2 linked regions of the Lytechinus pictus genome follow. The protein of the gene in region 2 interacts with the protein of the main gene of each other region in a pairwise test. Links are inferred from orthologs where the notes say so. Each region holds a gene or a part of one and is shown on either strand. Other genes may lie near its edges.

Region 1 (17,445 bases), on a different chromosome or scaffold from region 2:
AAATGAGCAATACATATCTCATTATGCAGGTTTCTAACAGCTGCTGTCCATCGTCACTAAATATGGATTGGAAATTTGTTTTATTTCCTTGAGAATTGTGGTTCTTGCTCCTTTTCTGTGTATGTCTTCTACTTGTTTGATTTGTGTTACAGACTACATGACCCTTCTTCCCACCTCGTTTTCCCCAGCTACCCATTCCTGTTTTTTTTTATAGTCGGTTTATATTATATAGAGAGCTCTACTCTGAAACCAGACATTAGCCAATCACAAGCAACTTAGCGGAAAGTCAAAGTTTATGTTAAATGCATGTTGTGTGGTAAAATCATCAATATTCGTGAGCAGTGCTATAATTCCAGCATAAGGCCTGCATACATGGAGTGTGAATTGCGTTAAATTTCTTGACGTTGGCTGAGAAAATATCGTGGGGGTTAAGAAGACAGTCTGACAAAACAAGAGGATTAGAAACTGTAGTCTAAAATCGTATGAACTTGATGGACAGTTAAATGTTTAGCGGTCATGATTAATCCTCATCAATTTCCGATGTTATGGTTTATTGCTGGAAATTATTCTAAATAATGGCTTGATGTAATGATTATTTCAAAATGAATATGAATTTTATAATTTTTTGGCTCTGTAGCAAAAAGTTGAATGCCTTTGACCTGCAGTAACTTGTAAGGCTTCAGGCATGAAATTTTAACATAATTAATTTCAGACAATCATTCATAAGTATGGCTCTCTTAAAGGCATTTAAAAACTGAATTTCAGTTATATTACTTTATTTATTTTATTTGTACATATATCCTCAAATCATGATTAATAATATATTTACATGGTTATTAACCTATTGCCCACTGAATTTGATAGTTCCCTAATAGGCTTTGTACAGGAACTGCCTGGTTTCAGAAGGCTTCGGGTTAATTTTGGGTACTGCACGGGTGTGACATGAGGGATTAGAAAATGGCTTGTCTAAATCTCAGCCTTCTATGCTTCTCAATATACATGTACCGGTATATCATTATTCATGTTATATCTAAGCCTATGATTCAAACTGAAGGAAATATGTTGTAATAGTTATTTTCATTATAAGTGTTGTTATACTGCCAAGTTACACAATATTCCTTAATTAACTCTGTTTACTTATCTAGCTGCTTTTATTTCAGCTGAAAATAATGTTGGTCATGATAGGCATGCACTTATCTTTTTGAAAGGGAATATCCATTTATTGTATTACTGTTGGAACACTTGACTTCCTACAGTTATTGCAGTAGATGGTGTTGTTGATTTTTTTTTTTTTACTTGATTGCTAAAAAGCATTAATGATTGCAAGCAAGCATTCAGAGAACAGACGGCTTAGATGAATTTGTTTGATATATTTAGTAGTGCCTGTATAGTACATTCATGAACTATGGTCACTATGGGTTATGTGGAGGGATATTTCTTTCATGTATGGTCACAATATGAATATGAAATATCAATTGGCCTTAAGAGATATGCATGTAGCTCTAATCTAGATGCATGCTTAGATTGACAGACTGAGGAAAGGAAATTTGACTTCAGATGCACTGCGGTAGAATAATGAGGAAATGTTAATTCATTTCAGAGTACTGTTTGGGGCTATTCTTTATTGAGACCCATGACAGACTAGCACAAATCTAGATTTCCTTGAATATAATTGTATTTGGGTTGAGTAATTTGGAAGCCAAACTCCTTGATCTCATAATATTCCCTTTCGTGTTTCCCTTTTTAAAACAATCATCAATTGTTTTAAGCTACTTTATACTCTTTAACATTTGCTACAAATAGACAAATTTGATTTGTAGACTTTTGTATCATTATTTATTGAATTTATTATAGTTTTGTTTCAAATGTAATCCGACTTCCATTTACCTAGTTTTAACTTCATTCATTTTTATTGTTCTTTTTTTTGTCTTTGTTATTTTTACCCTCTCAGAGCCAATATTTGGGGTACCTTTGGAAGCTGCTGTTGCCAGATCTAAGCTGTATGATAATGTTGATTTACCAAAGATCGTCAGAGAATGTATCGATTATGTGGAGGAAAATGGTGAGAATTTCTTTTTCAACTAGCATGCTCTTATTTCAAGGATAATATATTTGAGCCAAAAGGTAAATATTTGGATTTTCAATGATATTCCAGGATTCGGTGAATATTAATGAACATATTTTTTTTTTTGGGGGGGGGGGGGAGTTTAGCAGATTAATCTGATTACTTTTGCTAACAGAAGCCAATTCAGTAAGAATAATCACAGTTTACATTTACCATGATATCATCAAAAGAATTCTGTAATTAGAATGATTAGCCTACATTCAGCATTCGCCCCTCCAATGTTGTATGATGTACACTTAAAGTCAATTGTTTTCTACCGTCCTGTCACATACATTTTCCATAACTAAGATCATAGGATTTTATGAATTGTGACACCCTTTCCTCACCTCAAGTTCATTACAACAATATTCAAGAACCTGGTGTCATCTTTCCTTTTACAAGAAATATTTAACACTTAAGATTTCCCCCTTCTAACAAATGTGCCATATGGTTACACCCATCAATGTCTCTGAAGTGTGTCATATCTGAAAATAGCAATTCACCTTTAATGCAATATTACTCATAAGAACAAAATACCTACTGTTAAACCTTGGTTTATTTTAGAAGATACCAGGATAGTGTGACTTCATGCTAGTTTTCTTTTTCCTTTTTTTTAAACATAAATATTAAGGCACTATATTTCTTAGTTAAATTGAATTTTTTTACCAACTTATGCACTTTTGTAACTGCCGAATATTGACTTAGTAGTACAAGTAATTATGGTTTATTAGAATGATCATTGTAGCTGTAGGCTGCATTATAATCAATCTACAAGTTAAAAAAAGACATACCATCATAAAGAGTGATAAATACATGAATTACAATATTTCGCACTAAAAAATCACAAGATAAAGAATGAAGGAGAATTGGGACAGACAAGTGTGGAGAAGAAGGGCAAAAATATTAAGAATAATGGAAGGCGCGAGAAGAATATGGAGGATAGAGTGGAAAAGGAGTGAAAGGTATAGCTTTTAGAGAGGAAGAGGATACAGTTCTTCTCATGCTTGCAGGAGAAGAAAAAGAGATGAAAATAATTAATGGAGCTAAAGGGGAGAATAGAATAAGAAAAGAGAGAGAGGAGTTAGATAAATTATATAGGCAATCAACAGAAAGGGGGAAGGAAAAAATAGTTGTTTACATTATTCATGGTATCGTTTTTTTTTGTTCAAAATCAATATCAGCTTTCAAATTTCAAATTCAAAAGTTTCCATTATCATAGCGTCTAATTTGGAATAATGCACAAAAGGTAAAGAATATCAAAACAAGTTTCATCAGGAAGTATTTGGGTGATTGCAGAATATTAAAATTAGTCGGTTTGATCAAAGTATTATAAAATAAAAATACCGGTAAGCATGGATTGACCATGAACAGGCATGTTGTCGAACGTAAATGACTAAATGAATAAATATACTGCCTGTAAGATGAAATATCATGAATATTGATTGGATTATTTGATTCCTTCTTTCTTTTGTATGACTGGGATGGGATGGTATTTATGAACCTGGTGTTTTTTTAATGGATTTGTAAATTCTTGAATTGGCAATATATTTTAGGTACACTGCATGTATCTGTTATAAATATGTAAATAAGCAGAACAAATAGTTACAAACATAAAGAGAGTATAAAATGAAACCACTAATCAAAAAAGGAGAAATGCTAACATTAGAGTGATTAATAAAATACATTAATTATTAACATGTAACCTGTAAAGTAACGGCTTGCATATGCTATTGGCAATGTATCAATGCACACTGCCGGTGCCGCTGTGCGTAAATACATTGAGTGCTTGATTAACAGTTATATTTATGGATTGAAAATTTGTGTCACCAAACTACAGTGTTTATTTGTGATAGTATAGAAAGTAGAATAACAACCAGCTGGTAACCTCAAAAAGTAGGCAGGGCTGATTTTAGGGATTAAATTCAGATCCCAGGGCCAGCAAGGTTAATTGTATTTCAGAAGTTCATATCATGGACTGTATTATCAGTTTCATCGGTTATCTGCACACAGATGTGTCACACAAATCAAATATCGTTTCTCGCCATCAGTCAATTACGATGTACATGTACATAGTTAAAAGGGCATATTGAAATGGTCATTGAACTACTGTACATGTTTTTATTGAATGACAAAAGATGTTTAAAGATATCAAATCAAGGATACTTGTTGCATTTTTGATAATGAGACAATTGTTCTCCTGACAATTGTTTCTCCACTAATTTATAGATATAAGGGTAGGATTAGAATTGTGATAAGTTTTTGGTTCAGAATCAGATTATGATTGGGATTCAGGTTCAGGTTGGATTCAAAGCTTGGGTTTATGTTGACTTAATGGCCCGAATTAACAAAGTGGTTTTGAAAACCCACGGTTGAATCCATGGTTTATGCAGATTCCCTGTATAAATTACGCTTAATTTAGCGCGTGTATTAAAAATTCCAATGCTAATGCGCGCTTTTGTCACAGTGCGCCAAATTGACGCCTGTTACCATGGTTAGATACGCTATTTTATTAATGAGTCCACTGTTTGAAGAGTGGACTCATGAATAAACTAGCGTGGATAACCACGGCAACAAGCGTCAATTTTGCGCACTGTGACAAAAGCGCGCATCAGCATTGGACATTCTTTAATATACGCGGTAAAATAAGCATAATTTATACAGGAAATCTGCATAAGACATGGACTCAACAGTAGGTTTTCAAAACCACCTTTGTGAATTCGGGCCTATGTGTGTGCATTTACAGTAGGAGTAATTGTCGCAGGAGCAAATGTCATAAAACCGCATTTCTATACCCCGACAAACAAAGTTTGAAGGGGGTACATGTACATGTACAGTGTATATAGGAATCTGTATGGTTGGTCGGTCCGTTGCAAATCTTGCACATGAACTACTTCCTCAGTTTGAACTACTTCCTCAGTTTAAACCAGTTCTCACACATGTTGGTTTTGGGTAAAGATGTGCAAGACACATTTTTCGTATGAGTCGGAAATTGTGTTGCCATGGTAATAGCATATTATGGCAAAAATAAGGTGAAAATCTTGCGCATCAAACTACTTCCTCAGTTTTTTAACCAATTCTCATGAAATTTGGCACACACAATGGTCTTGAGGTGAAGATGTCCAAGACTGTCTGAATTTTTTTGTTTCGGAGTCTGCCGGTGTTGTGCTGGTCCGGTATCCTGATAAATGAATTCACGAGCGGGGAAGTACAAAGAAGTCACGGATTATACAATATTGATTTCATTATATGAAATCAATAATGTATAATCTGTGACTTCTTTGTACTTCCCCGTTCATGAATTCATTTCATTTTTAAACAAACATTCATTTAAAACAAACAAGAAAAATATTATGAAAAGACAGGAAAAAACTTGCCAATGTTTACGTGGCCATCTTGTTCTCTTTGTTAAAAGCAAAGCTACGAGACGCATGTAGAGTCTGCTGCCCTCTATATGCATCTTGTACCTTAGCTACTAACAAAGAGAACAAGATGGCCACATAAACATCGGCAGGTTTTTTCCCGTTTTCTCAGATTTTTCTCGATGGTCACCTGAAATGTAACAAAGAAACCTAGGTTATGATTGGTAAGACTTAATAAAACATACTCTATAATTTGTTATGTATTACATTGTTTTATCGGAATACCGGAATGGAAAAAACAATACTGGAACCCGTGCACATTGGACGGATTCCGGTATTCTGTCCATTCCGACCAAAGCCTAGTTTAAGCAAAGTTCTGTTTTTACTGTCTCTTGAATAGCGATGTAAGTGTGAAGGAAGATGAAAATATTGACAGCTTTAAGAATGAAAATAATTACCATGTCTGACAAGAGGAAAAATCTAGTCAGTAAATTGGCAATCAACACATTATGAACAGGAACAAAGAGTGAATGAAGAGGAGGAAGATCATGTTAATGATGGGGGGGAGTGAAAAGAACAAAAAAAATTCTGAAAACTGAAGTGTTAACTCATCGTTCAAAAGGGCCAACGACTGCGCGCATTACTAATGTTTTAATACTGAAAATACTGGATTTAGTATGATAATTCTATCATTAATACAATATTTTTGTGATACTTTGTCATCCCTTTAAGCTTTGATGAAAACAATATCAATAGTTATTACAGAGTGGGCGGGGGAAAGAGAGTGGTAGACGGAAAAGGGAGAAAGAGGGGGGGGGGGGGGAGGGTGACAGACATAAATATACAAGTATAAAGATATGGTGACAAACGGTAATTTCCAATTCGTCTATTGCCAACTACATTCATTTATTCTACTGCCATTCCGTCCAACATTTCATTTAACAACCATTTGGTCCAATCATCACTTCGTCTAATCACCATTTTGTCTCCTAATATCCATTTCATTTTCATTCATTTTGCACAATTTATACTTAGTTCAATTAGACCAAATGGTATATGGACTAAATGGCTATTGGACCAACTAGATATTAGATGGAATGGCATTAGACTAAATGAAAGTAGACTTATGTGGTGAGTGGACGAACTGATGGTAGACAAAATGATAGTAGACGAGTTGGCAATTGGATGAACTGGCATTAGACGAATTGAAAATAAACCGTAAACAGAAGAGAGAAGACAATTTCCCTTTTCTAGCTAAGGAACAAAACACAAATGAGGTCATGATTCTAATGCATAACAGGTGTATTCTACATCATTGATTATTTTTTTAAGATGTACTAATACCTAATTTTCAGAGTGTCTTTTGGAAAAAAAGATTTAGTAAACTGTATAAGTTTCAGGAGGGTGGAGATGATGGATGCCCCAATCGTCTGTTCCTTTGAAATTTTCAAGATTTCCTGTTAATCCCAAAATGCTTGTAGACTTTAAAGGGGAAATCCAAATATAGCCTTAACTGGGACATGACAATTCAAATCAGTCAGACAACTTTGTTGACTCAAAAGTCAAATACACACCAGAGTTGTGTCACTCAGTTTTTGGTATTCAATCTTTAAGTCTCTCTCTTACTCTGTTCCCCTCTTTCCTTTCTTGCCCTTTTATTTTCTCCTGTTTTTTGCTTGACCTCTTCAACCATATCCTTTTCCTTCACCCCCCCTCTCTCTCTCTCTTTTCCTGTACATGTATATCTCCATTCTCATTTATCTTTGCTGTATTTCTTGTTTAATTAAACTCAGATTTGTGGCTTTTTTCCAGATATGAAGCTGTACTTTTTATTTCTGACTCATCACCATATGATATGAGGCTGCGATTCGGTGTTTCCTATAAGTTACACATGTTTAATTGAGGTCATTCATTACTCAAAATGAAATCAAGGTCAAATTTTGGATGTTTGTAATATTATTTTTGTGGAAGTCTCCAACTCCAAGTGATACTACAAAGCACGACCAAACATTCATTCTACAGCAGAAGTAATAATAAGACTAATTTTACGGCAATTTAGATTTAGGAAGACACACTGAAATATTTCTAGAATAGAAATTGCAGGTTACTGCAGTACTTCACTTCTTCATTTAATGTTCCCTGAAAATGGGGGGGGGGGGATCCTGAACTGTAGTTTGATTGCAATAATTTGACAAATGTGCATACAGTTACACCATTTTCTGTTTTCCTAATCAATGCAACTGACAGTGTGCCATCCCTCATTTATTTTCCACTAGGGTTTTGAAATCTGATACTGAACATGAAGAATTTTTAAAATGTGGTCATGTACATTTCAAGAAACTTCACTACATGTAATTCAGTGATAGCCAAAATTATACAAATCAATTTGATGATAATTTGATTTTCCTCGAGACACCTGTTCATTTGAGAGAGTGGTGGCAGTCATAATTTGAGGCGAGGTAATTTCTTCATTCTCCTAGAAGAAATGCTGGAGGTTCTTTATGATATTATTAACAACTTCCTTAGCAATTATACACACTTGTCAGCTGCTGCCATCTATTGTTGAGGGTGGCAGTAGATATTGGACATAGAGGTATATTCCCCCCCCCCCCCCCCGAGGCAATGAATAATTATTTGCAATATTTCCATTCCTTGCAGATTTCATGAGAAGAAAACAGGCAGTTTGTGTGTGCAATATCATGACATGACATGGGAGAAAAATAGTACAGGGCTATTTCAAATTACACCCTGTTTATACTGATACAAACTACATGTACAATTACAAACATAATTTGAGAAACATCAGAAAAAATGATCGTAAATCAGAATTCCTTGATTATGATGCTTAGTTTTAGTTTATTTCATTTTTTTTTACAATAGTGTTCATTATTGATATATGGCATGTAATTTCATGTTTGTAACATTCATCCCATTGAAGACAATGTTATTTCACCGTAACTTTATGTTCCATATACCCCATTACAAGTTAACTTTCAATTAGTTTCCAACCAATTAATAACCCTAACATCTATAACTCAACCAATGCATTGTACTGATGTGTACATGTAGTATTGTTTATGTATAGGCCTGCATGCCCTTTACATGAAGGCTCTTTTTACCATGCCAATCATATAGCATAATTAGCAAGGCTATTTTTTTTGTTTACTACATGTATTTTATGGCTTACATATAGTCCGACCTACACAATGTGCATTAAGTTTTAATGAGGCCATCATTGTTAGTCATTGTTCAGTATATCAAATGGGCACATCAGGGCATAAAAAGCTGTCACATGTTTCATTACCAAACACATCCTAAAGAAGAATGTTGTGTTTCAATATGAATAAACTCAAAGTTCTATTACTTTCATATTTTCATCTTCTTGAATTGATCTTTGATATTTTTTCATCATCATTTTAATGTTTGTTTCATTTACTTTTTATTCATTCTGTATTTTATTCTTTTAATCATTAAATAGTTTTAATATCTTTCATTTATATTTTTTAGTATTTATTAAGTTTTTTTTTTTATGTGTTAAGTAATTGGGAGTTATTTACATTTTGTTTGTTTATTCTTCCCTAGTTTGAATATTCAATGTTTCAGTGTGCTGAAACATATAAATATTTGTCATTCATTTTATATACTGTAACGATTGTACCCCTTTTTATCAATTAAAATTAGGTGTTGACTAACTTGTCTGCAAGCTAATTATTTGAAGGCCATGTAATGTAGGAAATAAGAATTAAGATGCAAACTGACTTTTTGATCACAGCATCTCAAAGCTGTCCACTTTGGCCTCTCTCTTGTAATTCAAGCTACATAGGCCTTCATAAGCTTCCGTTTACTTGCTAGACTGGTGAAATATGATTCATTATTGAGATATATCAAAGATGAAAATAAGGAAGTTTGTCACAAAAACAAAAATACTTTCCATTTCATGAGTCATTGAATCTTTAAGTTATAATCTGGATTGAAGTATCAATATACAATGTTATATGCGCAATATTTATTTATTTTTGTTTATGATGTTATTTCATTGATCTTGATTTTCTTCACACTTTGCAAAAGAGCTACTTGATAGTATAAACATGGAGGTCCATGGTATAAAGGATGTCTAGTAATTATTGTGTATGTACATGAGAAAAAAGGTTTATTAAAATCATATGATATTTTTCAGGAAAATCAAAATAAGGAATCAAACTGAATTGTTGGAATAGTGAAAACTGAATGTACATGTGAAACACTTCAAATCTCCAAGAAAATTATGCAAATTACTGTTAGTCAGGAACTCAGGTCAAGTTGTTTGAATGCACAAATTATGTAGACAGAAAGAAGTAATATTTTGGCATGAAACAAAGAACATTAGTACCTATGCAAGGTATTTTAGCAGATCAATAAAAGTCATATTTCGCTCGCTACTTTCAATCCGAGACCGACGTGGTGAACATTTGCCATGTTGCCCTCCTCTTTGCCCATAGGAATCCTGTACAAAAACAGAGGGCAATATTGGCCATATTTCTGCTAGTGTGCTTGCACTGTAGGAGCCGATTTTGATCGCTAGTTTCAGTATTTGAGAAATCTGGCTGGAACCAGTTAATGAACAAACACATTGTTGATAATGCGCGGCGCGGCCAGTGCATACACAAACGTAACCCAAGCGCAAGATTTCTACGCGTTGAGTGTATGTGCGCCATGCATGATGCACGACTGCAATGTAACAATTACGTCACAATTGCTTATTAAGGGTTACTTCGCTAAAGTCGTGAATAACCTGAAATCAGAAATAGTGATGAGCAATCAGGCATATAAATTGTTCCAAATAGTAGCTTGAATTACACATTGTACAGCCTCAGGTAATAATAATAATATTGACTGGCTCTTCTTTCGGGAAACATCAAATATATCACCCTTAAAAGAACCATATTGGCCTCGTCTAAAGACTCAGGCCAATATGATTCTGTTGCGGGCGACATATTTGATGTTCCCCTCAAGGCCAGTCAATATTATATAAATATCTGTGCGGGAGCTCTTATTTTTGTCACACAAATCATGTATATTATACTTGTAAGTTTGTCTTCATCTATTCAAAGGTCAAGTCCACCCAAGAAAATTGATGATTTGAATCAATAGAGAAAAATCAAACTAACATAACGCTGCAAATTTCATCGAAATCGGATGTAATTTAAGAAAGTTATGACATTTTTTATTTCGCTTATTTTTCACAAAACAGTTAAAGGGGAAGTTCACCCTGACAAAAAGTTTATTGTAAAAATAGCAGAAAAAATAATAAAAAATATTGCCGAAGTTTTGAGAAAAATTCAAATAATTAAAAAGTTATTAGAATTTCAATTATTTGATTTGTGACGTCATATGCGAGCAGCATTCCTACATAGCGAATGGTAAAAAATCAATGAAATGTCATTTTCTCAGAAAATTGAAAATGGTTTTCACTGTACCTGTTGTATATCAATAGACAAATCATTCCACACCCGATCATGAATAGAAAACAAAATTAAGTCATCAGGAACCATATAAAATTTGAAATTCATGCATTTTATATTACATAACACATGGGGCAGCTGCTCGTTTATGACGTCACAAATCCAAACTTTGAACTCTAATAACTTTCTTACTCTTTAACGGATTTTCCTCAAACCTTCACCAATGTTTTTGACTATTTTTTCTGCTATTTTTACAACCAAGTTTTCTTCAGGGTGAACTTCCCCTTTAAATGCCCAACTCAGCAATATGCAAATGAGAGAGTCGATGATGTCCTTCACTCACTATTTCTTTTGTTTTTTATTGTTTGAATTATACAATATTTCCATATTTACAGATTTGACAATAAGGACCAACTTGATAACCATAAACTGATACAATAATGGTAATTCCACATGTTCAGGGAGGAATCAAATTTTGTTTCACATGACAATGAGGAGAAAATTAGAACTTTTCATATTTCATATAATAAAATACAAAAGAAGTAGTGAGTGGGTGATGTCATCAGTGTGCCAATTTGCATACCAACCAGGATGTGCATATAATTGTTTTGTGAAATTGAGCGAAACTTTAAAATGTTATAACTTTTTTATTTTACATCCGATTTTGATGAAATTTTCGGTGTTTTCCTTGTGGGATTTTTCTCCTTTTATTCAAATCAAATTTTTGTTGGGGTGGACTTGTCCTTTAAGGGAGTCTTTCCTAGGTAAATTGCCAGTTTGTCTACTGCCAACCGGTCCACTGACCACATGGTCTACTTTCATTCGATCTAATGCCATCCCGTCCATCAACATTTCGTCTAACAACCATTTAGTCCAATAACCATTTGGTCCAATCATCACTTCGTCTAATCACCATTTCGTCTATAACCATTTCGTCTCATAACCAGTTGGTCTAATATCAATTTCATTCTCATTCATTGTGCACAATTCACACTTAGTCCAATTAGACCAAATGGTATATGGACTAAATGGCTATTGGACCAACTAGATATTAGATGGAATGGCATTAGACTAAATGAAAGTAGACTTATGTGGTGAGTGGACAAACTGATGGTAGACAAAATGATAGTAGACGAGTTGGCAATTGGATGAACTGGCATTAGACGAATTGGAAGTAAACCTCTTTCCTCTATCCGTCTGAGTTTCATCATAAAGCAGCCATGAACATAAATACAAGGCTTTAGTTTAGAAGATAAGCCATCTAGACTCAAGGAAGGAATCAATGGAGGATATCTCTTACATCTTTGGATTTCATGAAGACATGAAATAGCAAGATTGGAGATTTAGTATTGTTTGCTGACTGTAGCAATACCATTATTGTAATCTTTGATGATTTTATTTAAATGCCCAAGTCATTTCAAGAATTTGTTATAGAATTACTTATTTATAGCTAGTCAGAAGCAACACAACGGCCTTTCTATTGCACAAATTTCTTAAAATCCCCAGAAATTATGAATGAAAAGTCAGCTTATCGCATACAGATCTTCATATTTACTTTTAATCATTTTCCGGTTGATAATTCTTTTTACTTCCAGCACTTTGCATGAGCTTTAATATTTGTCATAAATATCAAATGAATTATTTTTGAAAAAGTAATTCTTTGAATGGAAGAAAATGAAGTGATTCATTATGTTTTACATGTAAGTTTCTATCCACAAAGAATTTTGAAACCTTATAACCCTAGGAACTAGCAAATATATACCGTAAGTAACGGTGTATTAACCGCACCCGTGTATTAACCGCACCCCCCATTTTCGGATGGAAAAAAAAAAAAAAAAAAAAATCATTAAAAAAAAAAAAAATCATTAAAAAAAAAATTTAATCAAACTTACTTTCTATCTCTAATATGCGTATTTAAGAAAGAGTCAAGAACCAAAAAATATCGAAGAATTACTGGTAAAAAATGATGGGAAATCAGCGCTTCGTCACTTATCTGCAAGTTGCCGATATTATTGGCCAGTTCCACACTCCGAGTCACCTCACACACACACATATGGTACCGGTGTTCATTGCAAGTACCGATACCAGCATCAACATGGGGGCTCACCCATACGAGAAGATCGTTCATATCATATTTCCTGCATCACAGCCCCACTTTTGCTTTCAGAATTCTGTCTAGCATTCAATGTCTTGACATGAATTTTAGACAAGGGAATACGGGAAGGTTCAAGATACGAGAAATTTGCGATTTTGTTCAGGTGTTTTTCTTGTCTGCTTTGAACCACTACCGGTAGTTCTCAGTACGTGTGTGGCGGTGTCTTACAGACAGCAAAATAGGAAAAAAAATGCTAGTACCGGTATACCGTATTTTCAATGGGAGCTCTGGGCGGGAATAAAGTGAATAATAATTAAAAATAAAAAGTCGGAAGGAGTGAAGATGGGGATTAAAGATTGATTTTGAGATGATGGATGATAGAGAGAAATGAAGGAAAGGCAAATGAAAGAAATTAATTGTCAAATAATACCAATAATTTGTCAAACAAAATAACTTCCACGGAAAGGTAAAGCGCCAGCTTACGTTGACGTTGCGATAAACATTACACATGCATGTCTTATTCGGCTAGCTGCACCGCGCTGTGCGATCGATTGGCGTCTGAACTTTGCCGCGATGACTAAAAAATGACAACAAAGACAGAGTCACACCATTAAAAAAAGTCAGTTTCATGAAGGTAGGTGCGTTTGTTACCGTGATATAACTTTGAGGGACATTTACGGCAGATACCGGTAGTCATAGTTGCTTCCCTTTTATACCCGCGGCTCATACCCCTCTAAACGGGATTGCCCCAAGCGGCTACGCTCGGCCACCCGACGCGAGTTGAAAACTGGTAGTGGTATCGGGCTGAGATTGGCTTGGCTCAGACCTGTCACCGTGTATAAACCGCACCCCCGACTTTTGATTCTGTCCCGCCGAGAAAAAGGTGCGGTTAATACACCGTTACTTACGGTATGGAATCATGTCAGATCTATTTTTTCTTTTTATTTGTTATTTGCACAGGGTTAGCAACAGCCGGGATCTACCGTCTTTCTGGTGTGAAATCAAAGGTGGAGGCTTTGAAGGCCCAGTACAACAATGACGAGAAAGTGAACCTGAGGGACCATGATCCCACCGTTGTCACTAGTCTCTTTAAATTGTATCTCAGAGAACTGCCGGACACAATCTTGACTTCAAGATTTACCCCAGTATTTGAACATTCTGCAGGTACGTTGGCAAGACATGATTGGGAGGGAACAGATTATGTAAATTGAGAAGATGAATATCATTATCTGTTTGAGAGCGAGCTTTAATATGAACAGTCTCCATACTTTTTTAGGCTTTGCTTTATTTAGGATTCTGTAATTGACTATCCTGTTCCCCCATCATTGTGTCTTTGTAGAAATGAGTAGAGAAAGTAGAAATATATGTAGAGAATAAATGCAGAGCCAGATTCCTGCTTGTAGGCCAAAGTCATAGTGAGATTCACTTTTGCTAAACATCCCCAATATTACATTTCACCTTTAAAGCAAGTGCTTGATATTCAAGATGAATTTATGTAAATAAAGAAAGAAAAAATGACTTTTTTAATGATAAAAATTTATCAGACAGTTTTACGTTTAGCCAGTAAGATACAATGATTTCGCCAGTTTATGATGGTAGTTAGTAGCTGAAACAAGGCCCAGGGTTCCATAAACACAAAGTGTAAAAACTGATACATTTCACAACTGAATGTGCCCGATGCAATCAGTTGTGAACATTTTGTTTACTATCAACTTCAAATCTTTGTGTTACAGAACCCAGGTCTTTTCTGTTTACTAGTTTACCTTTATTTACCCAAATTCATTATCCAGGTCTAACCGCAGCACAAGAGAGAATAGGGGCATTCAAGAAGCTCCTAGCCCAGTTACCCAAATGTAACTACACCCTTCTTTCATGGACAATAGTCCACTTGGCTCATATATTAGAAAGGGTAAGAAAGAGAGTCATTCTAAAATTTAAAATCATTGCCCCAATCATCTTTTGATCTATAGCCTCAAACCTATTTACACTTTCTATGACATTTTGTCAAGATGATACACTCTGCATATATATGTGCTTGTTCACTAGTGATGCTGTGACTTGAAAGCAGAATGAAAATGTTAACATCATTATATTCTTTGGTAATCTGTTAAGTTCAAAGCATCGCTGGCCACTGAGCACAGATTAATGGTGCAGCTTTCTTTCAGTTCATTATTTTCCTAATAAAATTATTATTATTATTGTCTTGATTAAAAGGCATACATGGGGCGTGAAACTATAACTCAAACAGGCAAATATATTTATATTTTTCTTCAGGGGCTACTTTTCACAATTTACTTCCTAAATCTGCAACATTTAATAAGCTTTAACATTGCAAACAATGGGGATTTCCAGGGGAGCGTTTCATGAAAGGACTTGTCGGACGTTTTATCCGACAAGTCCTGTTTTATCCGACAGTTACCATAGTAACAGTGCCTCACAGCCAATCAAAATCAAGGAAAGATGTCAGATCTGACAACTTGTCGGACAAAAATCTTGATGAAACGCTCCCCAGGACTCCTTTTTTTTAGTTTCCAGGGCTCTACATTTTGGGGGCTAAATCGCCCCCAGCCCATGGAAATTTTTCCATGAACCGAAAAGATTGTTCAGGAGTGTTTGTCATGAATTCTGATGTGTGCTTTTTGGTGGAGAAAATGTATTAAATTCTTTTATTTTAATTGTTTAAGCTGTTTCAACATTACCTTTTAAACATTTCTATTTATAATCGTACAGGAAGACATATTAGGGTATCTAACAGCATTTGCCTTGTTTATAATTGGGAATAAATTTTCTATATTGACTTATTATTATCATTATCATTATCATTATTATTATCATTATTATGATCATTATAAAGCTGTGCATTTTGTTTCAGCCAAGCAGTTTGATATATTATATGATTATAAATGCCTGTAGCTATAGCTATAATTAAGGATAGATTTCTTGTGAGGTAAAATAATGAAATTGTGCTGGTTGAAGACATGATAAAATGTTTTTTTTTATGTATTCTTAGTCTTTTATGTGCTTCAGGAGTAGCTTTTGTTAAGGATCATTCCTTTTATTTCACAGCATGGTACTTATCCTCTTTAAGTTAATCATTGTTCCATGTTTGTTGCCAATTTGATAGAAAGAGGATACCAAGATGACAATACAGAACCTATCCATCGTCATGTGTCCTACCTTGAGGATAAGCCACCGTACTATGAACCTGCTATTCACGTATTGGAAGGAGTTTTTCAGTGATGTCAAACTCAAGAGGTATGTACACCATTCAATTTGTTTTATTGCCTGACATACTGAGGGTTATGGGTTCAGTCTCTGATGCAGTTTTGGCATTGTTTAGCTCGGCAGCCAAAAAAACATTAAAATCAAAATTCCAAAATATTACAAGAAGTTTGTGAGCTTTGGTTTCCAAGAAAGTTAAAACGAAATGATTAGTATAATGCCTCACTGTGCAGCCTATTTGGATGGGATTTGGAAATAATTCACAATAGATCTACTGTAACTACAAAGAGACACTTGAAATACATTTGTTGACATTTTGAATAGCCATTCAGGTCCAATGAAATAAATGATAAGATTTCTCTTTTGATAGAATGCTTGATTGATTCCGAATCATCGCTACGATCATATCAGTTAGTTGATGTGTACAATTTGAAAATGATTTGGCCTTTGTTCAAGATGCAAGACTTACCTTTCACAAATTTCATAGAGTATTGAAAGCATGAATTAGGTAGATTTGATAAGTAAAAATGCTCAAATTCCATGATATTGTGATTAAGATGGAAAACGATTTGATGCAGGTTTAATATTTGATGTTATTTCAATCCTATCCAGGTGCCCTAAACCTCTTGAATGGATACCAGGGACTACATTTGAAATTCCAGATACCACAGCGTAAGTAACTATTATGTCATTCATTGTATAGGATTGGGGAAGTAAAAACAATGAAACTAAGAGATAATTATTGCTTGTTTATTGGCTTTCTCCCGCAAGACAGAGGTCAGCTCCAGCTTGTACATTGTATGGATTCTTCAAAACAGAAATGATTACCTTTTTGCTCGAAGTGAAGTGTACTTGTTTATCTTTAGATGCAGAATAATGATTTCATCATGTTACATAGCGGATAGTAGTTATGTACATGTAACTGAATAATTTGTCGAGCACAGTCTTCATGCACGTGTACATCACTTTTGTGAGATATGATAATCTATGATTGATATTTAGTGCCACGCTTGCAAGTATCTTGAGCAAATATTATTTCTATTTGATTTACTGATACCTCCTAGTCTACATGTACCTCTCGTTGTCAACCCCTTGGCAATTGTGAAATTAAATTTGGACACTTAGTTACACAGTGGAAACCGCTAGAACACTAAATCAATTATAGTCAATAAATTAATTTCCCTCCTTCGGCCCTATCTATTATGTTCAAAACCAAAAAGCTTT
Region 2 (17,766 bases):
TCAGTTATTTTTCAATGATATTATTTATTTGGGCTGCATTTGAATATACAATTCTTTATTCATTCATTAATTTATTTATTCATTCATTCTTTATTCATTCATCAATTCAATTCCAAAAATACTTTGTTATTAATTAATCAATTCATTCGTTCCTTTTTATACAGTCATCAATCAATTAATGATTGATTTTGATAATTCACTCAGAAAGAAAATCAGATTATAGATGGATTACCCACCCCCCCCCCCCCCACACACACGCACACACAAATGCTTAAAGAAATTGAGGCAAAAGCACAATTTCATTTGAAAAAATCATAGTAAAAATAAGGATTGGGCTACAATACTCAAAAAGCTTCACAAGAAAATGTAGTGTACATGTAATGTACATCTCATCACACAAGAAGTGGCATTGACTTGAGTACAATGTTCTCTATCATGTACACAAAGGAACATTAATGTCTGTATCAATTTATACTCTGTAGGACACACAAATTTCACACATGTAATAAGTATTGGGATCAAAGTCCCAGGGGCTAATGACATTAATGAGCATTGAAGTGGTTTCAGTGATTTGTATTCTTTCAGTACATGTACAGTTTATGCAAAAAGTGAGGAAATTGTCTACTGTTCATAATTTCTTCGATATTAAAGTACAATATGAATAAAGATGAAACTGATAGCTTCACCTCATTTTTGGCTGCATACATACATGTACATGTATGTACACTTTTCTTATATTCAAGGTTACCAAGTAGTTGCTCTATAGCATCATTGGAATGCCCATAAAAAATGCAATCTGATTATTTATACAGTGCGTCCCACAAAAAACGAAACCGAGATTTATCGATGATTTATCATAACTTAATCACAAATACAATAGACAAATTACCTACCATTGTCAAGCTTAGAATCTCTTCTTTCATCTGAAATTACTTAGATTATTTCTCCTTCACGCATGAGTGAGCAAAAACAATTTGAAGAGGGGATACCAAAAAGTCATTTGGCGGGCTGTATCTGGGTTTCATAAAGAAAACCACATTTTTAAAAAGTTCAATATCTGCTCTTTAATTTGATACCTCAATTACAGAAAATGGTCAAGAAATAACAAAGTTCTGGTTATTTGAAATAAGGCTTGAATTTCAATAATTTCATAAAATGAAGAGGTTTTACAGGCTAGGGTTCAAACTCACTCAACACTCCGTTTTGTTGATGATCAGCCATGCATTAAGTCTTTTGTTAACCATGCGATAGCTTCTGTTGGAAACCGGTGAAAACACGTTTATTTAATAAAAATTATGGAAATACAAGCATTGTTTAGAGGGAACATAACGTTTTTACTTCTTGACCATTTTTTGTGATTAAGGTATCAAATGAAAGAGCAGATATTGAACTCTTTGGCATGTGATTTTCTTTTTGAAATTCAGATTTTTTGTTCACTCATGCGTGAATGAGGAATAATCTCATTTATATCAGATGAAAGAGGAGATTCTAAGCTTTACATTGGTAGGTCATTTGTCTATTGTATTTGTGATTAAGTTATGATAAATCGTCGCTTAATCTCAGTTTTGTTTTTTCTGGGACGTACTGTATATACGGGTAGTCTTGAATTTCAGACCTTAAAAAAAAATCAACTTTTCAATCATTTTTTTAATGAAAAATTCATGCATTGCAATTACATGCTATTTTTCAACGATTTGGGTAATTGTCATTAATTGATTAGTATTTATTACAGTATATTTCTCATTAAATTTATCGGGGTTCATCATCACAGTATATACAGTAGGTATAATTAGCATACACTGCACAATATTGTTTATTGATGCATCTTCTATACCGATTTCATACTGACAGCCGAAATGGAGTTACTCCGGAGTCCAGAAGGAGTTACTCCACTTTCTAGGATTATTTCAATCCAGATTCAAAGCGGAATACTCAACCAACTTCACACAGAAGCGCAGTATCGCCTATCTCGCACGTAAAAAACTTAATTCATGGAGGAGTTTTGGCGCGCCACACTTAATGGAAACCACGGAAACGACTGCGGATACACCGCTGCCGCCTGCAGAGCTTGCCAGTTTGAAAGGGGGTGTAATGTCGGTCCGCAGTACAAGCACATCAACTCAATCCGGAGTTCCTCCAGAGTAACTCCACTTCGCCTTCAGTATGAAAACACCTCAAGAAAGTTATGGCAAAGTTAAAGGGTAATCCAGCCTTGGCCATTGAATGATGTGTTGGGAATGAGAAAAATAAATTAAACAGAATGGTGAAAGTTTGAAAGAAATCGGACAAGCAATAAGAAAGTTATAGCTGCTTTAAAATTGAGATCACTAATACTATGTAGATTTCAAATTGGCAACTGGGTAAGTAAATTATGACAAGGGGCAAGGACAACTTTCCCATAGGCCATGTACTTTATTATCAGGGATTTGTGGTTTTCTCCTAAGTACCCATTCCCATGGGGGCAGTAATCTAAATATAACCCAGGTAGTATATTGTTTTATGTCCTCATGAAAGAAAAATATAATTTGAAATAAAACTTTTGGGAAAAATGACATTTTAGCCATAATATGTATTGGAGTACATGGAAGAGTAGTCCTTGCCTTACATCACTATGACATCCCATATGCTGCCAATTTGAAGTCTCCATGGGTATAGTGATTACCAATATTTACAACTTTTAAAAATTCATACCTTTCTTGTTGTTTGTCCAATATTGTTCAAACTTTCACCTATCAACTTGTCTGATATTTATTTTTCTTATGAAAACAAGTTTTTATTTGGGTTGGGTTCACCTTTAAGAAAATACAGTTGCTCACCTCAATTGTTCATATGACTAGTGGAATTTATGATCCTCTGACTGACTACCCTAATATTATAGTCAGTATGTAGAGTGAGAAAAACTACACCATTTCTAATTTCTGAGAAGTCCTCCTAGTCAATTTGGTTTATTTTCAATTGGTCTAATCAATGCCAATTCACCCAATCACAAACCCGTCTACTATCATTTGGTCTACCATCAGTTCGTCCACTACTGTATCCACAGAGTCTAATTGCCACTTCATCCACTCAACATTTTGTCTAATAACCAGTTCATCCAATCGCCATTTTTTAGTCCATATATACAATTTGGCTTAATTGGATTAATATAAAGTGTTAATTGGGTGAAATGAATGTAAAGAAAATTTATATCAGACCAACTGTTATGAGACCAAATGGACATAGACGAACTGGTGATTAGACGAAGTGATTATTGGACCACATGGTTATTGGACCAAATGGTTGTTAGACGAAGTGTTGATGGACGGAATGGCATTTGACTAAATTCAGGTACAGTGTAGACCATGTGATGAATGGACGAGTTGGCAATAGACAAAATTTGGCAATTTACCATCAATTTGATGCAAAGCTCTAAATTACAGGAATTCATGAGGAATGAATGTGGACTGTATACATGTATTGTACATGTACATTGTTCTATGATCATCAGAAAGCAAATGAACATATACCAGCCAAAACAAGTACAAAAACCACAACACCATGGTGCTTCCACGAAGCTTGGAATTTCTTTTTTATAGGAATCAATTAATATAAAGCTACAATATTATTATGATAGCATTTCAACTGTCCATGTGTTTTTCATGCCACAAACCTACCCTAAGAAAAAGGGGAGTTGCCGAAACAGACTCAGACATTTTTTTTTTTTAAAGGGGTGTTTCTCTCTCTCTCCCACTCTCTCTCACATTTTCTTTGGACTTCTGAGAATTTCTATAAGGGGTCATGAGATATCAGGAATTCATGAGTATACCCATCATGAAAAAAAACCATTACATTATAATAAATCATTTAATTCAAAGTGTACACTTGAGTTTTTTTTGGGGGGGGTTCAATTACATCATCTGGGAAGCCTCTATAAATGACAGCTTACAATCAGATGATAGGGGGAGGGGTCTGTCATGAGATACATGTAGGGGAGGGGTACATTGAGCAATGTGCCAGATTAATGAGGATCTCAAAGACAGATAAAACACCGCCAAAAATGATAACTTAACATTTTGGCCAAAACAGAAATATTGGGTGCCAATGAGAAATGGAATGTACATAATTATATGTACATGCATGTACCCAAAAATAGACAAGGAGTGGTAAGTCAGGACTTGGGTATTTTAAATTCAACCCATTGACCCATATCCTGTACTCTGGTTTAATTCAATCTCTGGTCTAAAGTTGTGGTTTGCAGCACTTGGCGGATCCGCCACTGTTCTGCTTGCATGACTCGTAAACAGGGAAGGGGCGTTGGAGTTTGATATCGCACTCCTTTTTTTAATTATTTCTAGGTAGCCCGAGGTGAGGGTTTAAACCCTAACCACCCCCCACCCCCCGCCCAAGATCCATCAATGGTTTGACAATGGAGAGCCAGATATTACACAAATCTTTTTAACATACATGTAATTGCAAGCTCAATCTCTCAGCTTACTTTAGACTCAAATCATTTATACATCAATATCTGGGAATAACAACAAAAATTGTTTTGTTCATCAACAAAGCAGGAAGAAACAACTGAGTAAACAAGGAAACCTGATTTAAATAAAATTTTAATATTTTTCAGCTTTCCATGACTTAAGCACAGAGTTAGACCATGGCCTTTTAAAGTTAAACTGGACTTGAGAATACAGACCCTACATGTACACTTCTGAATTCAATAATTCCCATTTTAGTACCTGTAGGGACCATCCGGTTCCAAAAGGCAACAACAACAGTGACACAACACTTGCTCCTGCAACAATTGCTCTGGGCTTTATTTCGTCTAAGATGTAGGGTTATGGTTATATTTAGGGTTGCAATAGGGTTTTATGTTAGAATAGGGTTAGGTTTAGAATAGGGTATAGTGTTCAATCCAAGGTTGAAGTTGGTCATTCCATCTGTGTGTCAAATTCAAAGCGGAGCAATCATCGCCAGAGCAAATGTCTTGGAACCACAATAACAGTGAATAACTCACCTTGCATGACAAAATCCACAGAATTAGGGAGAGGAAGACCATTCTGCACCATTGCAATCATCTTGAGTGCGCAATAAAACTGACTCCTGCCGTAGTAACCTAACCTTCCTGCTCCACACAGCTCATTAATCTGTATTGAAATACATACAATTTAAGACAATAAATCCATGATTTACATGGTTTAAACAATCACATAATACATTGGGTGTACTCCGATAGCCATGGTTTATTAACCCTCATTCATTAAAGAAAATAATTATGTTAATCCTCCAGCAAAAAAGGTGTTGAAATTAGTATTGTTGTATTAAGAGAAAACATTTTTTTTTTTAAATCAATGACTTTATATGTTACACATATCATCTTTACCAGACATATGGAATCTCCCATGAGAGTGAAGACTAAAATTACATGTATTGTGCAGACTAGGGTTAAACCTAGGATTAATTATCAGAATAGGCCTACTATATACTATCCAATTGGTTCCTAGATTTTCCCCATTTTGCTTGCATGATGACTTGAAAATTTTGAAGATATTATGTGCTTGCCCGCCTTGCCGTTGGCTTCAGAGGTAGTGTTTTATTTGTAATTTGTATACAGTTATTGTTTGCAAAACTTCATGCAAGAATGGAGACAATCAGTCAGGTGCTAAACAAGAAAGTCACCAGCTAATGATGATATCCAATCTCTCGTACATGATGGAGGGACCAAAAGCTACATTCTTTGTTTACAAAACATAAAACTATGGCAATATTAGTATTTGAACAGATTTTTAAACTCTAATTTGTGGTAAATATTTTAAAGATTCTAAATATGAAAATCCAGTTGTGTTTTCCTAAACACCTGATTTTACTGTTGGCATTGGAAGGGGTGCAGGAAATTGCATTTCCTGCGCTTCAAACACGGCCATATTGTTGAAAGAAAATAAAAAAATTCAAGAGAGCTCTGCAAAACTGGAAATAGTTGCATGATTTTATGCATTTTTGTGATTTATTTATTGGTGCCACTGTACTGTAGTAAGTCTGAATGGGAATTCTTTGTCACAATGCAGTCACAGTTCCATAAATTGCAAGTGCACATTTATCCATTAAAATTGATGTGCAAATGAGTGGTGCATCCATGTAGCTTTATCCTTGATAATTTATATTCCTACAGATAACAAGCATGAGAATGGAAAAATTCAATATCTTGAAATGCAAAAGTCCCATTGCGTTTAACCAAGACTTTGAGGTATCTTATTTAGCATTAAACAGGGACAAGCAAAACTTTCATCTGGGTTTAATTTCTCTTTTCTTGAAATCAAAAATTTCCACAAATTAGCTTTTGAAATTTGTTTTGTTTTGAAATAAATAAACCTTTTTATTCTTTGTTTCTCCTCAGTTATACAGACTAACAATAGAGCTTTAACTGCAACTGGTGGCAGCCAAATTAGTTTGCTAAAAAAAGGGGTTAAAAAATTGGCATTTTGCCATTTAAGATTCGACTAGCTACAAAAGTCCAAATTAATTTAAACTGCTTCATGAAGAATATGTTGAAGTAATTAAACATTGAGAATATAACTGAAAAAAGAACCACTAGAAATGATTTCATACATACATTACAGTCACATCACATCCACTCACACTAATTGCGAGGTTAGTATTAGTATACTAATACTTACTAACACATTAGTATACTCATCACATCACATGATTCATACTACTAGTGTGATGATTCAAAATGATCTCCACATTTTCTGGCTTCGTTCAGACGTCAGTCACGTCGTCATGTTCATCATCACTTTCAAGTTTCAGTTTTCAAGACATGACATTGATCATGTTCAATCGGTTTGATTTAGTAACATGGTTATCAATTTTGAAAATAATATGCATCGAAATATATTAATTTAACATTAACAAACAGTCAAAACTAGACAAACTTAAAGGTAAATGACTAATCCGAGTTCCGACATACCCTCTGAATTACGTCGTCCGAGAGCTGCGGGCTCAACCTGAATAAACTCATCGCTCGCTGGGCCGCCACTCGCCCGGAGCTTTCCTTGTCGGATTTGCTGAAGAGCTCGGGGTAATATTGCTGCTCTGCGGGACTCAAGAAAGAACCCTCCATGGCTGATATTAAGATTCGAAATCAGGGCCTAAAGAATTTGGAAACAAGAGAGAGGCTGAAAATCTGTAAAACCTTATGTAAATATCACGAAAACCTAGAAATTGATGGGTAATCACACCCTCCTTTTCGTTCCTTTCGCATCACTGATGGCAGCCATATTGTCGGTGACGTCAGAACAAGTCCCGGATGAGTCACAAAGATGTTAATTCAGTCTGGCTATCTTCCTTTCGAACTTTGAATCTCAGTTGATATGAAGTTTTGGTCTTTTTAAGTAAATAACAACAAAATCTTACAAATGGGGAGGATACTCAAAAATGTGTTTATCAAAGCGAACAAATTATAATTACTAGTCGATCAGAAGGGTGTATAAGGACAACTGGGTCCATTGTAATTTGAAAATCATGAAAATATCGCTTGGTGTACTAGCTAGGCGGGGTGTGGGCCTATCTGTCAAAGCATAATAAACATTTTCAATCATAAGTGATGACAATGTTGCTGCTTTAACTTCAAACAGAATAGGACTATATATCTACATGATACAGGGTATAAGTATAATCATTTACCTTTATTAATATCAATAGATGCCCCCCCCCCCCCGAGTAGTTTTTAAAGTGGTAATAAAATTATTCAAGCTAATTGATTTGACTAATGCCTTTCCAATCTAGGATTCGCATGCAGTGGATCAAAATGAGTTAAAACAGGGAGAATGAAAGAGATATTATGACGATGCCTTGTTTTATGGAAAAAATGATTATCCATGATCATGATGATGGCTGTGGTCACAAATACAACTTGCAAAAAAATAATGGTAATAAAATCATGGTGGTAACGATAATATCTTTACACCATTATTTTATGGTGATGAAGATGATTGTGATGACGATGATGATCATGATCATCATCATGATAATGATTTTTTTTGTCCTTATCTGAGAGGTATTTATTACATTGAAATGAATAAACAAACACAAACAATATATACAATTAGTTTCACTTTTCACAAGCTTTTGATTTCATTGTACTGTTTTTCTGTTATTTTTATCTTGTTACTCTTTTCAAGAAATCTCAAATTAATGACTAATTCTCTCTTAAAATCTGACAACATAGAAAAATAACTGAATTTTTTTAAAGTGAACTGAGCCAACACATAGACTCTATAAATCGTGTATTGTGCGAAAACCAAAATTACGTTCAGAAAAGCCATGTTTTCATTTTCAACATCGTGGCCAATCAATAATGTTTTCTATGAATATTCACATTAGACTGGATCTTAATGAAATACCGTAGTTTCTGCCAAAATAAATTCACATGTGGACAATGCAACAAAATATGATCTAGAGTTTCAATTTGTTTACAATGGTTATACAAGTCATGTCTGATGTGATATTCCATCGAACTAAATTCTCTTTACGATACGGCAAAATCCGATGCAGCAATTTGAAATTATATTGTTTAACTCTGTTATCAAGTAATTTTCCAAACTTAAATTTCAGCAATTTGCTCCAATCATAATCTTCTGCAAGTGAAAGCCTATCTTGCCAAAAATATAACACCATTGGGTGTAAATTCTTTTTTTAATCTACAAAATATGTGTAGAATTGTTTTTGATATTGTAATGTCAATTGAGTTACCGGTTTTAATTTGAATAAATTTATCGTTTTGTATTCGTTGATCACCGTGATTTTCAAGCTGAGCAGTGTTCAACTAATTGAACCAATATGTTGGAAAATTGGTTTTAATTTTAGCATATTGAAATAAGATACAAAGAGAATTCATCGACAGTAGGTCTGTAATACTTTCGGAGTTTTTCCATGATCCATTTTCAATTAAATGGCGTACTTTTACTAAACCCTTATCGGACCATTTTCTGAAATACAATAACCTGTTTTCATGTTTTTAATTATTCCATATGATTTCATTTTCAAGTGAAGTTCAGCCAATAAAGTAAGTAAGTCTGTATAAAATGTAGCCGGGTAATGAATATTTTATTTGCATAATTTAATCATGTCTATACTGGAGAGCAGAATGGATAATGGTATACCGCCTAATTTATGTAACCAAAACTCACAAATATATTTCCATGGTGGTTCATCCCCTCTTACAATTTTTGGTAACCAGGAAAGTGTGAGTGATTTCAATCTAGAATTTATGTCAATCATACCTAATGATGGTTATGATGATGGTATTGATGATAATGATGATGATGATGATGATAATGGTGATGATGATGATGATGATGGTGATGACGATGATGAAGATGGTGATGATGCTGATGATGATGATGCAGTTGATGATGATGCAGATGATGATGATGATGATGGTGATGATGATAATGATGAAAATGATGACGACAATGGTGATGACTGGTGATGATGGTGATATTAGAAACAAAATCAGTGAATTAATGGAATGGATCGGCTTTATATTATAACATTGATGTACCCCACATTGTCACAAAATTATATTTCTTTTTTTTTTGTAAAAGATCTAATTTTTGCCGCTCTCTTACTCCATATGATATATTTTTTGATTCACTGATTACACCAGTGCGGGCAGATCCTATCCGTACACCGTTTGAAGAATGACGTCGCCCTCTCATGGTAAGAAATTTGCTATCATCATGATTACTAAAATAATCTGTCATCGTGAACTCTGAGCTCCAGCTACGGGGGTGGTGGTAATAACATGTCAGGTGCTTCATTTTGCGATCAAGTGGTAATAACGACCCCTCGCTGTCATGTGACCAATGTATACACGTGACAAACAATAAAAGTGGGCGTGTCATAGTGGGATGCGACGAGCAATTTGCTTTGACATTGTTTTGAGAAAATCAACAAACAAATGTTATTTTCATGAAAAAGTCTATGTACACAGATGAAAGTTCCCGAACCATAGTTTTGTTGCACTCTCGGTGCTTTCTCCTCCCCCTCGATCATTTTTTCTTGTTTCTCCATCTCCTGCTCCTGATCTACTCCCCCTCCTCCTCCTCCTCCTTCTTCTTATAATTATTATTCTTCGTCATCTTCTTCATTATCTTCTTCTTCTCTTCCTCCTCCTTCTTCTTCTTAATTATTCTTCTTCTTAATTCTTCTTCTTCTTCTCCTCCTCCTCCCCCCTCTTTCAGTCATTCTTCCATTTTTTCTTTTCACCTCTAACCAGTGGCGTACCTAGGATTTTTCACAGGGGGGGCAAAACCGTCCGCCAAAGAATTTGACAAGCAAAAAAAAAAAAAAAAAAAAAAAAAAAAAAAAAAAAAAAAAAAAGGTATTTCAAGCTCGTCAGGGGGGGGGGGGGGGGGCAGGGATACGTCCTTTGCATGGGTTGTGGCTCGTCAGGGGGGGCAGACTGCCCCCTCTGCCCCCCCCCCCCCCCCCGTAGGTACGCTAGTGCCTCTAACCTTTATTTCCTTTCATTTTGTAAATATATATACTGTAACTTTGTCTCCGACACTGTATCAATATTCTTTCGCTCTAAATATTTCCCCAACCTCTCCCTATTTCACATATACTTTATCAAACAATTTCTATGAAGCAAAAATCTTTATAGTTTCTGAATCAACAACGGATGTAAACAAAGCATTATCGTTCATTCGTTCAGTCAAATTCCACCATCAATAGAAAAAATACAGCGATTATTAGAACTTTGGAATATTTACTTTGTTCTGTGCGGCATTATTTAACAGTAAGTGTTCAGCACGCATATCAGAGGCCCCTACTAGAGAATCTCTTGAAAATTTATAGAGCTATGCACGTCACGTGCAGTCTGTTTTACATGTAGGAACTGACAATACAATCAACAGATCAATGTATGTTTTGTTGCGTGATATACCGGTTTAATCTCTCATTAATCCAAATTAGCCTTGATTTCGACTTCTAATCTGGATAGCTTCGTCAACACCACGCGGGACAGATTTGCCAAGAAAATTGACATTGTGTGTTTTGGCATAATACTCGGCGGAATATAGTGGCACTACGATCTGTACTCTACCTTTTAGCAGGTTATAAGTTTAAAACTTCTTCTGGAACGAACTCCCTGACGGAAATAATTTGATGAAATAAAATGGATACCATGTCGCGGAGACTGTGCCATGTTTTAGCGATTGCCTTGACGGTGCTAGTAACTGATTCAGACGGTCATCTCTGCATTATAACTCCTCGACAAAGAGGAGATCTCGATATATCGACTGTAAGTTATACACTATAAAAACAAATCAGCCATCATTCGTCAGATCAAACGGGCCGCAACTGTTTTCTCTACACGGGCCGCGGAAACGGGGGGGGGGGGAGGGGCTGGGTAGGCTTCAGCCCCCATTTTTTTCCAAAACCATGTACAAAAACGTAAAAATGAACATTGTGTGATTTTGTGCATGGTCGGCCCCCACATTTGGCTCAGCCCCCCCCCCCACCACCACTTTTGAAACCGTTCCACGGCCTCTGCTTTTGTCATAATTTTACTGTATTCTAGTCAGAAATGACGGTGTTTATAGTAAGATTTGACTAGAAAATAGTGAAATATTAGGAAAATAACAGTTAATAATTGTACCCAGATGCCCCTTCCGATGCCCCCTCCATCATGTCGCTTTTAACTGGTTTGTTTAAGAATGAACGATAATGCATGCAGGGTAATGTGAGAACCCGGTGGGGATGCACGTGCCCAACCCTTTTACCACAATAACCACTCTATGAAAAGTGCCCCATTTTCTTCTTTTGTTAATGAAAAGAAATTCTAAAACAATGAACTACTTTTCGGTTCCTTTATTTTCTTTAAAGATATTCATCTAATCATCAGCAGCAGCAGCATTAGTGTTATTTTTTACATGTCCATTATAGAAAAAGTCAATAATTTCCATTTTCTATGTCTTGAGCTTTTATTTTAGTTTGAAGTGTTTTCATTCATCTATCGATAATACTATGTCTGTTGAAAGCATTGCAAGACTGCAAGTATAATTGAAATACATGATTGCGATGGTGATGTGTACATACATTATGTTGAGTATAATAAGCCGACCCATCTCGCTGTTGATAAGTTAATTGGTTTTATCAAAAGAAGAAGATCATCAGCATCAGCAATATACGGAAGAGAAGGTAGTCCTGTAAGTCTTCCGGTCGCTTCTTCTTAGGGAAATACAGACGATACAGCTTTGAGGGTACGCTAAAGAAATGGATCACGTGCTACATAGTGAAGATTGGACCAATGAATGTCCAATGTTCTTTTAAATGTATTTAGACTAGGTGCAGTGACCACTGACTCGGGAAGATTGTTCCAGTCATTGACAACTCTTTGACTGAAAGAGTGCCCTCTGAGATCATTTGCGAGACAGTATAATTATTTCCTTTTTATAGTGTCCTGATGGCAATCGTAATTGTGTAACAACTAAAGAGATTCAAGATTTGAGATCACAAAAACATTTATATCTTTAAGAGAACCAAGAACTTTAAAATCTAACGAGATCTCAAATCTTGAATCTCTTTAGTTTTTACACAATTATGATTGCCATCAGGACACTATAAAAAGGAAATATACTGTCTCGCAAAATGATCTTCTTCTTTTGATAAAACCGATTAAATAAGTGGCTACCCATGGTGAATACAATTTGTTATTTTAATATAATATCATTACTTACTAACCAACGTAATTGTTTTCCATTTAGCCCGGAAGTAGAACCTGTACCCGGCACCAAAGCCCTTGCGGAGGTCAGCCCACCGAAGCGCCAAAGATGACGTACATGGGCGGGAAAACCGCTCTCATCAGGTTCCAACAAAACTTCAACCATTACGAAGTTGGATTGCCAGGTAAGAATGAATCAAGCCATGGGGACTAATAGGATGAGATGAAAAAATAACATAAAATACCTATCACAAAACACTCTGACAGAAGACTTCATTGCATTGGGACCACCTTTCAAGACTGATCTAGAACAGGATAGTGGGGCATGGATCCGGGGTTGACCAGGGGTAGTTACAAAATGAGGGAGATTTTCTCATATAAACTTTAGTGACAAGCCAAATCATGCATTCAGGGTGGGGGAAAGTTATTATACCTTAATACCCCCATCTCTTGACGCTAGGGGTTGGTTCCCAAATTTTTATCACACTTCTTATCGTTTTTCCCCCTCCATGGGATCAGTGGCGTAACAGGCGGGGGGGGCAGGGGGGGCAAGCTGCCCCCCCTGGCGGAGCTCACCGGGAAAATAAAAAAACGGGAAAAATAAAAAAAAAAAGGGGGGGAAGAAAGGGAAAGGGAAAGGAAAGAAAAAAAAGGGCAAGGAAAGGGAAAGGAAAAGGGAAAAGAAAACTAAGAAAAAACACAAAAAAGGGAAAACGGAAAGATAACGGGAAAAGGAAGGAAAGAAGAACAAGTGAGAAAGAACAATTCTCCCCGATATACAAATACATTAGCATAATTAGTAAGACAGGGAAATAAATTAAAGATGACAAAAAGGCAAACAAAAGCGGGATATAAAGGCAGAATGGAATTAGCCAAAATCTAAATTGGAAAATAAAGAATAGGGACAAGATATCGTACACTACCGGGCTGCCGAGGATTGAGATAACGAGCGGGAAGAAAAATGGATGGAATATAGCATAATGTCGTATGATAATCTTGCTAAATCTCCAAACGCTCTGTCCAAGAGTCAAGACCCCGTGCAGTGGGGGCTCTTCATCTGTAACCTTTAATGGGTTCTATAACGGGCCCCTATATGGACCCTTCCTGCATTAAGCTTTACGTTGAAGCACCGGCATACCGGGGGGGGGGGTGGTTCCACAGCCAAGGGGAAATAAAAGAAAATAAAGGAGGCAGCGAAATGACATGAATGAAAAAAAAATATATGACATGATATTTGCTATAATGATGTAAAAATCGATCACATAATTCGAATTTCATTTTAACAGGCCATTTTTTTATGGCTCGCTTCGCTCGCTGACGACTTTTTACAAATTTTCCCATATTTGCTATGGTGTGCCCCTCACAATATTTGGATGGTTACGATAGTACACAACTGCATTGAATTTATGTGTTGTGTGAAAGCTATATAAATATACACGCAATTTGATTAAAATAAGTGGCCATCTGTAAGGTTTAAAATGGCTTTGATATCAAGAGGTTCCGGGGCTCTGCCCTGGACCCCACCCATAAAGCACTGTCATATGGATGAGTTTGGACCATGGCCCCCAAAAGTTCTACAACCAAACAAAAAAAATGAGGAAAGAAAGGAAAGTGTATTATATTTTTCTGAATATCACGTTAAAATCTATCTTCATGTTAGATTCTCATGAAAAGGTGATTTTTTATCTCGCTCGCTTCGCCCTCTCGGGACCTATATTAAGCTACTTCTTGCCACAAGCGCCATACTCGGCCCCCTCGAGCATATAGAGCTTCACCCTGATGCTCACAATCATAACAAAAATCCTGTTCAACGTGGCGTACAAAAAAGAGAGAAAAACGGTAAGAGAGGAGGGTGACATATGATATCTTTTTAACATTATGTCAAAATCTATCACAAAATTGGATTTTTGCAATAAAAATGTCAAAAAAATTTGCTCGCTCGCTTCGCTCGCTCGCTTATATATATATATATATATTTGCCCGATACGCCATATCGCCCCCTCAAACTTTTTGCCTTATGACGCCATTGCCCGTTCCATGATATATGACCGGGAAATTTTTGGCTCTTGCCCCCCCTGGCCACCGACCTCTGTTACGCCGCTGCATGGGATAGGGGACCAGCCCCATCCCTAGATCCGCCACTAAGCACTGGCGTACAATAAAAATACCCCATAAGGTGGCACGACATTTGCTCCTGCGATAATTGCTCCGGGTGTACTTTCGTCTAAGATTTAGGGTTAGGGTTGCAATAGGGGCTTATGTTAGGTTTAGGGTTATAGGTTTAGGATAGGATATAGAGTAATACCTAGGGTTGAAGTTGGTCATTCGATTAGTACGTGGAATTTAGAGCAGAGCAATTGTCGCCGGAGCAAATGTCATAGGACCAACCATAAAGCCCTCTGACAGAATTCCCAATTCTTTTGAGATCATGTTATAATTTTTTTTTAAAGATGAAGAACTTAATTTACTAAAGAAATAACATTGTCTTTCTGGTGCCTGCGATTTGAGTTATGGTAATGTGACTCGGCAACCAAAACCAAAGTTTTCGTTAATGTTGCCACAGTTATAGAATTGCCATTGGCAAACGGGTCCTATGTCTCGCGTTTTTTATCCGAAATGTAGAACTCAAGTGTAGCAGAAAAAGTTGCATTCAAATTCAACAACAAAACAAATATCAGATGCAACCTGATTTTCAGCCCCTCAGAACCGCCCATTTTGGACGTAGGGCCTCTTTCATAAAACTTGTTATGATAACAAATTTACAATAACAGTTTAAAGCTACTGAAATAAATCAATTTGATTGGCTGACAATAATTTTCTTTTAGAAATTGCCTATTTGATCAGTGCTTCCACTTGCAAGGAAATTTCCTTGTTTTAGGGAATTTTAAGGATTTTTTGACTCCACAAGGAATTTTTAAAGGAATTTTGACAATTCAAGGAATTACAAGGAAAAATGAAAAAAAGTCAAGGAATATTTAGGAATATTTAAGGAAATCCAAGGAAATCTGAGAATTCAAGGAAATTGATTGAATTTCGAGGAAAATAAAGAAAAAAATAATGATGAATCTAAAAAATGTTTAAGAGGTTCGAGCCCTGGTCACGTCTTTCGGACGGTGACGTTAAAGGTCGGTCCCAGACGTAAATAATAATATCTGATTGATACACGTCTGACAAAACTCAAATACACACATACACACACACACATTTAAATTTTCTTATATGCTGGCTGGTGTGCTATATACTTTCTTTTTCCTTGGCATGCTAAGACATGTATTTTATGTGCGCACACAGTGATGTTAGTTCTGTTTCTTTACTTTCTTCTCTGCCTGATCATACAGCAACTATTAAAGGCTTAGCATTTTTCTGTTGATACATGTATGCAACATTCTACATGATCAGTGAAACAACTAGGCTTGTAACGCAAAAATATAGACAGGTTTTCTCCAGACTCTAATTCAAGGAATTTTGTCCAAATTTAAGGAAATTTTGGAGCTCAAATAAGGAATTCCAGTTTTAAGTTGTGGAAGCACTGTATTTGATATCATAACAAGCCTTTATGAACGGGGTCCTGATCAGAATCACAAGATATATGACTGTTATCAAATCAAGGAAGTATCGAAATTAGGCGAAGTAGTTTTCATATTCCATGAATTTTCACTCGATGTAAACGATGGACATTATGCGATGTAAATTTCAGTTTTCGGAACTGAAGTGGCTACCCTGGGTAAATATGCCGTTATTATTATTATTATTATTAAATTTAGTCAAGAAGGAAAACGTGTTTTTTTTACATTTTCTTCTAGGTTATATGGATATTTCGCTGGCCCAAAATGTGAACTCCACAGATTTCCAAACGCTTACTCTTCTGGGTGATACAAACGAACACCTTCAACGACATCAGCGAAATTACACGGTTCCCGTTGTGAGTTGCATTCTTATTTTTTTTTCAAATGCGATGATTGATTTGACCACTTATTCCTCTTTATCACGTTCATGTATCTTAAATTGCTGGAATAAACAATGTGAATGGATTTAAACATTAAATTCTTCTAAACTTTTAAAGAAAATTAGAAAAAAAATCGCAACGTTAAGTCGTGACTGCTTAAGAAGAAGCTTATTATTGCATCTGATGGCGGGTAATGAGTAGCAGATAATTTTTGAAAATGTTGTTGTCAAAAGAAAATGGCATGGGGGAAGGGACACTTAATATTAGATAGATCGATATAACATACGGAAACGCAAAGAGAGATTATTAAGTATGCCATTACGTGAATAATATCGTTAAGGAAACGCACTCGTGAATATGGAATACTATAGTAGTAACAATAGCTCCTTTTGGGCACTGGGAGCATTTCATCAAAATTTCCGTCCCGACAAGTTGTCAGATATGACAACTTTCCTTGATTATGATTGGCTCAGAGGTACCGTTACCGTAGTAACTGTCGGATAGAGGTCTGGAGTACTTGTCAGATAAAACGTCTGACAAGTCCTTTCATGAAACGCTCCTCTGTTTACCTCCTGATCTTCTGAAGATGTTGAATCATTTCTCAATACGAAGGTGATGCCGAACGTGTCATGTGACCACTGCGTACTACGCATGCGCTATGTGAGCCACAAGGCAGGGGAGGAGATATTCTATCAATGTTCCGACATCGCAATCAAGACTGCCAACTCGACATCGCTCCTCGACGACGAGGTAAGAAAGATTTAAAGATATTTTCACAACGATACGATTCTTGATAAAGGAAAGGGCACAATGACAGTTCTATTCACTGAGACATTGAAGGGAATGTTTTATTTATTATCACTAATACTTAATCAATATCATATATCAATCAGATCATGATTCAGCAATGTATTTTCGATAAAGACAAATGTTCGTTTCTTTTTACAAAAAAGCCTAAGATATTATTTTTCACTGGATATCAGGATCTGGATAACGAGATAAGGGAGAGTATTCCAGTCAGTATCAAAAGGGCTATGAACTTGCATCGGAGACCCATCACTGTGAAAAGGACCAACACGAACGATGCCGGTGTCACCCCCATCCGACCAAAGGC

The links.
Region 1: the proteins of ralBP1-associated Eps domain-containing protein 2-like (region 2) and ralA-binding protein 1-like interact in binary tests that used the Homo sapiens proteins (3 or more experiments, as listed by UniProt). The link is inferred for Lytechinus pictus from reciprocal best matches to the Homo sapiens genes REPS1 and RALBP1.

The regions. Positions count from the first base shown.
Region 1 is NC_087247.1:48,438,518-48,455,962, forward strand, and holds the start of ralA-binding protein 1-like, read left to right. Parts: upstream 1-9,551; coding exon 9,552-9,564; intron 9,565-13,959; coding exon 13,960-14,163; intron 14,164-14,789; coding exon 14,790-14,908; intron 14,909-16,123; coding exon 16,124-16,254; intron 16,255-16,833; coding exon 16,834-16,893; intron 16,894-17,445. Other genes in the region: ralA-binding protein 1-like, read left to right, coding at 1,952-2,085. UniProt on the Homo sapiens protein: Multifunctional protein that functions as a downstream effector of RALA and RALB. As a GTPase-activating protein/GAP can inactivate CDC42 and RAC1 by stimulating their GTPase activity.
Region 2 is NC_087248.1:18,752,253-18,770,018, forward strand, and holds the start of ralBP1-associated Eps domain-containing protein 2-like, read right to left. Parts: upstream 7,318-17,766; 5' UTR 7,100-7,317; coding exon 6,947-7,099; intron 5,127-6,946; coding exon 4,997-5,126; intron 1-4,996. Other genes in the region: uncharacterized protein LOC129258351, read left to right, coding at 11,159-11,284, 12,750-12,891, 16,510-16,628, 17,265-17,402, 17,636-17,766. UniProt on the Homo sapiens protein: May coordinate the cellular actions of activated EGF receptors and Ral-GTPases.